Daphnia pulex: one gene and its partner. The protein of the gene in region 1 interacts with the protein of each later gene in a pairwise test. Links are inferred from orthologs where the notes say so. Each region holds a gene or a part of one and is shown in the gene's direction. Other genes may lie near its edges.

Region 1 (5,070 bases):
TCACGGTTCTCGTATGTCCAAAATCCATCCAAATCAATCAAGATATTGATCACAGTTTCACCGTATCCACTGAGCCAGAAAACGTTCAATGACAATCTTATTCTAAAAAAATTCTAAATGAACTTTGTGTGTTACCAGTTAATCAAATCATGTAAAGTGATTTTTGACGGATCGGCAGGACGCACCATATCGAAAATCTCATCATTGACGTCGTCAAAAGCAACGACTTCTTGTTTGTGCTGCTGCATCAACTCTTGAACCCCCTGCAAAGCATTTTTTTTTTTTTCAAGATAAGAAAGTCAAAAGGTCAAATGAGGAAATTAATACTTTGAAGTAAAAATGGAGGTCAAAAGTGTTGAGATGGTTTCGATGATTGACGTCCAACAAACGGAAAAAATACTGAAGTGCTTGTGGTTCCTTTTTATTGTCCATGGCCAATACGAAATCCAAGTACGTTTTATAATCCATTTCTTTCTCATAGGTCATGCACTCCTCGAATACTCGTTGAATGAAAACTCGCGTCAACGTGCCAGTTCCGAATCTGAAAATTAAATTTAAAAAAAATCTTAAATGTACGTACTGCAAATTGAAATATGGTAAATTACCGTCTGAGCTCTTCCTGACAAAGCATGCCGTTTCTGTTGGTATCTAAATTTAAGTATTGACCGTAGACTCTCAGAGCGGAGGGCGCAGAAAACCAGTTTGAATCCTGTGCATCTTTGGGCAGCTCTTCATCCCGTAGCTGATGAATTATAATATTTTTAGCGAGAAGAATGACAAAAGAATCAGGAATATACTAAATACCTCTAAAAGTTCGTCCAGAAAACCAGAAGCGAGAATATCCTGTATCCTGACTTTGCCTAGCTTTAATGGATCTAGGAAAAAGAGGAACTTGCGTACGGCGGTACAGACGTAAAACGAATGGAATGACTTTTCAAGCCCTTCTAACTGTGGCAATGTTGGGATAAGTTCAGTTATGTAGTTCTCTAAATCCTGGGAAAAACAAAAATAGATAAGTAAATTACATATTGCAAAAACAAAAAACATATTGCTGATGTTCACCATTTCAGTAAGCAGACCTTGTCCTGTGGCATCATATAATGAAAGACCAATTCTAGTTTGCTGTAACCAAACTTTCCTCATGATGTAATTGAACACTGCCATGGTTGATATTCTGCCATGAATATCATTCTGCAATAGCCTTGCAAATACATCTGGTGTAAAGAATGCTCTGTATAGGGGAATTCAAAAAATAACTTGGTGTTCCCAATCAAATATTTACATGTCTTACTTATATTTTGGACCAGCTATGTTGCCTACTTTGAGAAAATCAATATAATTGATCATCTGCTCAGAACCAGCAGGAGGGCTGTGATTTTTGTCAAGTAAAGTCCAGAGATTCTAAAGACAGGATGAAAATCTTATTTACCAGTAGCACAAACACTGGCAATGACATTAACAAACCTGCAGTTCATTGTTATCGAGGAGTTCTTTGCTCTTCTTCTGAAGGAATGCTGTTCTAGCTTCTTCTCTCAGTTTAAGGCTAATCATGTTTTCATGATTAGGAAGCTGTGTAACAAAAACATAAGAAATTTATAGGGAATCAATTGGAAGTTATGCTTACTTTGGTATAGAACTTTGGAACTGGCATGCTTTCTTCCGAGCATTGCTTGCTATATTTGAGACCTTCGGAATACAACTTTTGGAAGGTATCTTCATCTTCGGCGTTTAAAACCAAAATCTCGGATTTTTCATCCATCTCGTTGATGAAAATCAACGAATACTGAGACTTAGGCCGCTAATAAAAACGTTTCTTGTTCATTCGATTCAAACGTGTCGAAACGATAACAAACGGCTTTACTTTTAGCAGAAAGAATGTTTTTTTCGACCGCTAGATGCTATGCTTAGCCAAAATCACGCTTCGTGGCGCTGCCATCGGGGGCATTTCGATATATATTGCCGCGTCAGTCTTAGTTTTCATGTCGGCTTCCTGTTGAACGAAGCCCTCCCGGAATTGAAATCAAATAAAATTCAATTTCGTTAAAGAATGGCCGCCAATCAGGCACTCGTGGTATTTATTTACCTTTTACTTTATGATAATATTTCATGGGGAATAGTACCTGGAAACTGTTGTTGCATTGACGATTCCACTCCACGAGCTCGATCTCACTCCTCGTTGGTCTAATTAAGGACTTTTATATTTCTTTTTTTGTAGTCGAAACTGTATCGTGGCGTTATTGAAGATGTTATCAACGGGGTTCGAGAGGCGTTTCTTGACGAAGGAATCGATGAGGCTGTACTTCTCGAATTGAAGCAGAATTGGGAAAACAAATTGCAGTCCAGCAAAGCAATCGACCCTGTGACCGATCCTGCTGAAACTTCTCTCCAAAGCAAACTGCAACAAAGTATCCAATATCGATTATGAGACTTTATCATGTATGAAAAAAGGGTCTTCTTTGCCGTCAAAAGCAGGTCAGCAGGCTAGCTCTACAGCTCCTGCGAACAATTCTACACCTCAACAGGCAGCCACTACGGCAAAGCAACCAGGTAGTTGGGTATACTGTTACATTGAGTGCATTATTATTAATTGTTTTGTTTGTTTGTTTTTATTTTCTCTAAAGCAGCAGCAGCAGCCCAAACCCCAGTGACTACCCCTAATGCAGCTACAGGTGCAGCAACAACAGCAGCAGCTGCAGCCCCTGCTACGACAACAGTAAGGACGGTGCCAGTCCAAATCACTGTTCCTCCTCAGGCTGGAGTAGCAGGTCATACAGCAGCCAAGAGCATCACTGTTCACGTTCCAGCTCATGCTCTTCAAGGTTATTTCCCAATTGAATCTCGTTCGTACTAGCTCCAATCTAATTTCTTTACTATTTGTAATAATGTCACAGGTGGCGCAGCGGGAGCGCAGCTGCAAACGATCCTGAGTTCACCGGCTGTGACGGCGGCTCTCTCTCTTCCAGTTGAAATGGCCACGACTGTCTTGCAGCAGCACATTAATAACGCGTTGCAGGTACCATTGGTTGAAATTGAATCCACTCGAAAGTGTATATAATAATGTGTGTACAATGCATTATTACTTTTCTTTGTAGTCGACAGCTGCACGGAGCCAATCGCGAACTGACAATGGAGGAGTCACACAGTTGGATGGACCCGGAGACTCTTCGGACGACGACGACGATGTTGAAGATGATGACGATGACGACGTGGAAGAAGAGGACGATCATGACGACGAGGAGATTGACGCAGACAACGAAGAGAACGCAGACGAGGAGCCACTCAACTCTGAAGACGATGTGACTGATGATGATCCCTCAGTGTTATTTGAAACTGATAACGTCGTCGTGTGCCAGTACGACAAGGCAAGGATTTGAATTTTAGCATTCGAATTGGAATTGAAATGTTTTAAATGACTTTTTTTTCTATTTGTAGATTACGAGAAGTCGAAACAGGTGGAAGTTTCATCTCAAGGACGGCATCATGAACATTAACGGTCGCGATTACGTCTTTCAAAAGGCCAACGGTGATGCAGAGTGGTGAAAATATTCAAGGTTGAAATTGCGCTACTAGGGGAAAATCAAGATAATGTTTCATTTAATACAATCCGGAGGAATTTCGCTTTCAATTTAAGGATTTTTCGTGTGCCTGTGCGTGTGCATGTGCGGAATTTCTTTTTTCATGTCGGGTGTTGGATGAGCGGTGGAGAGGAAAAAATACCTGGGGACAAAGAAACAAAAGCCATTCGTGTTTGTCCTCCCTCGCTTCTTTTGTTTCGTTTCTCTTTTTTTGTTAACACACAAAACTTTCCGAATTCTTTTTTTGTCTCATCTTTTCCCTGTTCGCTGCAGAAGCTGTTGTCGCCCCCTTTTGATTCAGGAATATTTAGAAGAAGAAGAAAAATATATGTTCAAATTACCAAGAATTGCAATTAGTTTTCGAGAAGATTCTAATAACGTGACCCAAAACTAGTCCAAGACCCAGGGGACAATGTTACTAATTACGGTACCGAAAAATTCTTGTAATCGTATACAGTTGGTGGTGGACATTTTCAATGTTAGTCGGAAGAAATCTAGATTAGGTTGTATACATGGGAAGTCATTCAGGCGAGCGTACGGGGACTTGAAAGCAAATAACCAAGTGGTCAAAAGCTTACATCCGTTTGCAGTCATCACCGGGGAATTGCTCATCCAACTATTGGATTCGGTACACGTTAATGGAGTTTCTACACGATAGCAGCGCGGTAGGAGTTGTTGGCGTCCGCCAAAAAGTTTCCTAGAGCCGTTAAAAGGCAACCAGCACAAAACTAAACGAACTTTGCTGTTGCCAGGACCTTAGGATTCGACCTGCTGGACTCATTATCAAAACTAAAAAAAAAACGAGGGGAAAAGTTTCAACAAGGACGGACTGGGGCGTTCTTCCATCTGCTTATCATGAAAATAAATTCAAAAATTTCTTTTTGAAATGGTTGATGTCACAGGGGAGGACATGTTTCATGTGAATGATATGACATGAACTAGTGAAATGTTTACAGTATATTCAGGATGGCTTTTAATCGCGTGTCACAACATCCGTTCCTAATGAGCGCTCCCAGTCGTTGGGGGGCTGCTGCTGCTGCCTGTAGCTAGCCGGATGGATGGTTCCATGTTTTTCAAGTGGTGACGACAAAAGACGGCCAACCAGTCACGCACATGCTTAAAACACATGCCGAAATGTAACTTTGTTCACGTATACCCCAGCAATTGGAAGGACCCTGTAAACTATAAAAATCATGGAAATAATTTGGTTAAAATAATGACTATTATTTAATGTGATGATGGAAGAACCTAAGTCATTAATTAGAACAAGTAGACCTACTCACCAGTTTTACAAAAAACCATTTCACGTCGCTATGGTGATCGTCCGTGCGTGTATAATTAGACAATTAATTGCCTTTGATTCCATGAAATCTAAATCAGGTCATATAGTTCCGATTTGACACGAAAAGTTGAGTCAATTATATCGCACGAAAAAATGGTTTTAAAAACATACAATCAGTCAAGTTACAGTGGCAACTTTGGTCGAAAGTTCGCA
Region 2 (4,257 bases), on another chromosome or scaffold:
AAATCGTTACCTTCTCGTTCGGCTGCTAAAAATGCTTCTCTTCTCTCTTGCTTGTCTTTGGTCAACAGATCAACAGCAAAACCCATTCTTCCATCTTCAGCCTCGTCTTCATCGCTCTTATCGTTTTCGTCTTCCCGCACGAGTCTCGCGGATGTGACTGATGAGGTCTGCTGGGAATCTTTTTCGTAGTCCGGCATTTCATCCACTTTAATGTAATCAGCCAGACCACCAAGCTCTCTAGCTTGTTGACGATGCTTTCTAGCCGCATGAATCATCGCTGCATCTGGGATGGCACCATCTGCAGAAAATTCCAATTTCAAAAATTATAACCTCTCCATGGTTAAAACGATAAAAATGAACCAAACAAAAAAAAAATCATTGATGAAAAAGAGAGATTCATTAGATCAGAGGAAAATTCAGCCCAAAATATTTTTAAAAAGTTTTCTTGCCCTACTTTCCAGGACATTCCTGAACGGGTCAGGTCGTCTAAATTTGACGCCCTCATCAGCACTCTCTTCTTCTGAATCTGATCGATATCCAGCCATCTCTGCTTCACGTCCACTCAGGATGAGGTTCTTTGGTTGTTCAGGTTTGGGTAGATGATTTTCAGGCTGTGTCTGTTTTTCTTCTTGAACAATTTCCACTGGTGGCTTCACAATGGTTTTCTGCTCCTGTTCCTTCAACTTCCGGTCCCTCTCCATTCGTTTAGCAATTCTTCTACTCTGGGAAGATTTCTTGATCTGGAATGTCTCGACCCCCTCATCTTCTTCCAAGTCTTCCTGAAAGCTAAGAATACTCGTCTTCTTTTTTATTTCCAACGAAGCTGCTTTTGGCGGTTTCCCCGATGGTTTGTTGTTGCCGGATGCCGAAGATGGGACACCATCGACCTTATTAATTGATTGTGCATGGTTATCTCCATCTTCTTCATCACTTGTTGCTGTTCTTTGACGCAAATTTTTCTTTGGTTTCTTAAATAGTGACATTTTAAAATATTCACGGTTTTTAAATCCAAGAGTACATTCACTTTTCAACAAGCGATTGAAAATTTTTCGTGGAAACGATTTCGACAGCCGACATTTAGATTTGGCGACATGGCGTTGCCAAATAGTTATAACAGAAAATTGGAACTAAAAATGTTTCAAGATTTAAAATTTATTGTGTTATTTTGTGATTAATTCAGTTTTTATTTATAAAATTTAATTTAACTTAATAATAAATTATTACAGGCTTTTTTACGCGAATTTCTAAAACTATTATTGAGAATGACAACTTCAACTTGTTTACATGGTGCTTGTACTTTTGTTTTGCTCAAGTCAAGTTGATCTCTCTTTCTCTCTTGTACTTTACATTGAAGTATTATGTAGTTTTTTTCATACATCGCTATCAGTTTTTTTTTCATTTTATTCTTGCTTTGTGCTGTGCGCACCCAAACATAGAAAACTTTCAAGTACGTTCTTTTAATAGATGAATGATTAGAAAAGTGCGATTCTATCTGCGCGGGAAAGTCTGATAACTGTTTCCCTTGCTTGTTAAAATGGCGCATAGGAAAGCTAAACGTCCAAGGCATGATCCTTCTCTTCTTCAAGATGAGCAACTTATCCTTATTTGTGACTGGGGAGGTTGTAGGCAGTTATACCAAAATATGGAACTTTTTTTGTCTCATGTAGCTGATCATGCCGGGCAAGTGGTTGTTGTCACCACAGGTGAAGAATCAACTATTACTTGTATTTGGGAAGACTGTGGATTTGAAACTTCTGATGATAAGGAAATTCTTCGGCACATATACTATCATGCTTATCATACGAAGATTAAATGTTTGGGTGCTAATCTTATTGAAAAACTGGCACTACAAGGATGTCAACTAGATCCTCAAACCAGGAATTCGGTGCCAGAGTTATCAGGATCCCTCATCTGCTGCTGGGATGACTGCAAACTAGAATTCCTCAATGTTCAACAGTTCTATTGGCATGTCCACACACACTCCATAACTAATGATGATGGCGAGAGAAAAGAGAAGAAATGCTTGTGGACAAATTGTAAGAGCAACTTTTCAAACAAATTCAAGCTCAGGGATCACCTAAAAAGTCATTCACAAGAAAGATCCTTAGCCTGTCCAACCTGTGGCAGCCTGTTTGCCTCTCGTACCAAACTTCATGACCATTGTTTGAGGCAACTTCCTTTAGATGGTTGGTATTTTATTTCAAATCTGTAAACTTACACTAAATGATCATACTAACTGAATCTTTTTACAGCCAATGAATTCCGCTGTTCCGAATGCAACAAACTATTACCTACCGAACGTTTGTTGCGAGAGCACGTTCGATATCACCGTCTAGTCTACACATGCTCTCACTGCCCAATTGATGAAGAGGGAAAAGGTCGGAGCTTCCCCAACACCCACTCTTTAGCAACGCATATATCATATTGTCACAGTGATTCTCGACCATTTTCCTGTCCCGAAGACGATTGCAATTACAGTGCGAAATCGCAAACAGATTTGAGCAAACATCTTGAAGTTCACGCAAATACGCTGTGGTACTGTTGCGAAGTAAGTAGCATTTTGTTTGTTTGATGAAATCAACGTGAAATTTAATACCATGTTTATCTTGCAGGTGAGTGGGTGCGAGTTCACTGCTCGTAATTCGGCGACACTTCAGAAACATGTGCGCAAAATACACGAAGGAAATGTGGATCCATTGTACGAGTGTCACGTCTGTCAAGTTCGTTTTCAGGCATCTAACTCACTCAAAAATCATTTGGGAAACGCTCACCAAATCTTTCCCCTCGCTGGCAACTGTCGTTTCAAGTAAAGAGTGCATAAATTATATTAGTTTTCTTTTACGTAATCGAGTCATTGGTTTTTTAGGTACAAACAAGGACCGGATGGTCGTTTCCGAGCGGAGAACGGCGGCGGACCCCTTCAACCTCGAAATAGTTCCTAAAATGTCTTTCTATATTTGTTCCCTTATTTTCGCAAAGGCTGTTCCAAACGGGTTGTTAGTTGACTCTCACTTTGCGTAATAATCTAGACGTTTAATTACATGTATTTGTTCGATTTTACTTTCTCATATAAATGAAATAATGAAATACAAAGTTACACACATTTTCGATCGAATTATGGAAATTTCGAACTCACGCATGCCACCAAAATAATCAAATAGTCCGTCACGCATTTTGATTATTAATAACTGATAAAGGGAGAATTTTTAAAGGTTTCGGAGTTTTTTTAATGCACTTTTTGTTTCGTATTTTTTTTCGGAAATTGGGAGGAAGGATGAACAGGATCGGGTTTATATAGATAGTTTACTGTATTATTAAAATATTTAATTTAATTTATCCCTGCTGCTGGTTGTAGGTGTAGTAGATCCTCGAGTACTCTTGTGGATACTGTTGAGAGACCACATTCATAACTTTCATGGCCTGTTGGTGTTGTTGCGGAGAGCATCCAGGACACTGGCCCTTGATGAGTGCTGGTACCAGTTCTGCATAGAGAAATGAAACAATTTAGAAATTTGCGCCACTTTCGTTTACATGCATAATGAATTAAATTAGTTGTGATTGTACTTACGCCTCATAGTGCGTCCAATGTTGTCACAGGGTGACTCATTAAGAAGGCAATTAATCTGACGGCGCATGTAGCGCGGGTTACGGATGGCCGCTTCGACGGCTGCATTGCTGGCGGGTAACTGTGCCTGTGCTTGTCCAGCCAAGAAGAGAATAACGCAGACCAACGCTAGTTGCCATACCAGTTGTAAACGAGCCATTTTTTTCTGTTCAACTAGAAAGTTGGTAAAATTTCGCAGGTGAAATGTTCTTTTCTGGAATGGAGCGACCGCACCAAATAGGAAAAAGTCTTCAACGGCTGGTGGTGGTGGCTTGAGTACCGCTTTCTATAAAAATAACAGAAAAACATAAAAGAATAAGCACGAGTGAAAAATAACGATACACTTTTCGTGATTGGTTAGATTGGCACTTTTCTTGTGGCCGCTAATTTTATTTTTAGATTTAGAGCTGAGAACAGGTGAAAGCGTGTGGCTGTTAAGCGATAAACAAAACCCCTTTCTCCAATGAACTCGCGGTATACAGACAGTGTGTCGTTGTTTCCAACAGAGAATCTAAAATCGTCACAGCAGCTTTCACTGATCTGATTTTAATTATGTCACGTCGAAAACAAAAGACAATTCTTTTGGCAAAGTGAACTAGATCCTGTTCAGAAATCGCACAAGACCCAATTAAAATAAGATACCAGAATGTATA

Evidence for each region.
Region 2: the proteins of transcription initiation factor IIA subunit 1-like (region 1) and histone H4 transcription factor-like interact in a two-hybrid assay, tested with the Drosophila melanogaster proteins (2 studies listed by BioGRID). The link is inferred for Daphnia pulex from reciprocal best matches to the Drosophila melanogaster genes TfIIA-L and Hinfp.

The regions. Positions count from the first base shown.
Region 1 is NC_060018.1:12,589,766-12,594,835, forward strand, and holds transcription initiation factor IIA subunit 1-like, read left to right. Parts: upstream 1-1,924; 5' UTR 1,925-2,047; coding exon 2,048-2,071; intron 2,072-2,215; coding exon 2,216-2,405; intron 2,406-2,448; coding exon 2,449-2,547; intron 2,548-2,618; coding exon 2,619-2,819; intron 2,820-2,891; coding exon 2,892-3,013; intron 3,014-3,092; coding exon 3,093-3,362; intron 3,363-3,432; coding exon 3,433-3,540; 3' UTR 3,541-3,922; downstream 3,923-5,070. Other genes in the region: serine/threonine-protein phosphatase 2A regulatory subunit B'' subunit gamma-like, read right to left, coding at 1-69, 136-263, 328-541, 606-742, 805-993, 1,063-1,231, 1,292-1,401, 1,465-1,569 and 1 more. UniProt on the Drosophila melanogaster protein: TFIIA is a component of the transcription machinery of RNA polymerase II and plays an important role in transcriptional activation. TFIIA in a complex with TBP mediates transcriptional activity.
Region 2 is NC_060027.1:4,352,150-4,356,406, forward strand, and holds histone H4 transcription factor-like, read left to right. Parts: upstream 1-1,284; 5' UTR 1,285-1,534; coding exon 1,535-2,186; intron 2,187-2,252; coding exon 2,253-2,548; intron 2,549-2,612; coding exon 2,613-2,806; intron 2,807-2,866; coding exon 2,867-2,942; 3' UTR 2,943-3,103; downstream 3,104-4,257. Other genes in the region: PAX3- and PAX7-binding protein 1-like, read right to left, coding at 11-298, 455-983; uncharacterized protein LOC124207603, read right to left, coding at 3,334-3,482, 3,569-3,764.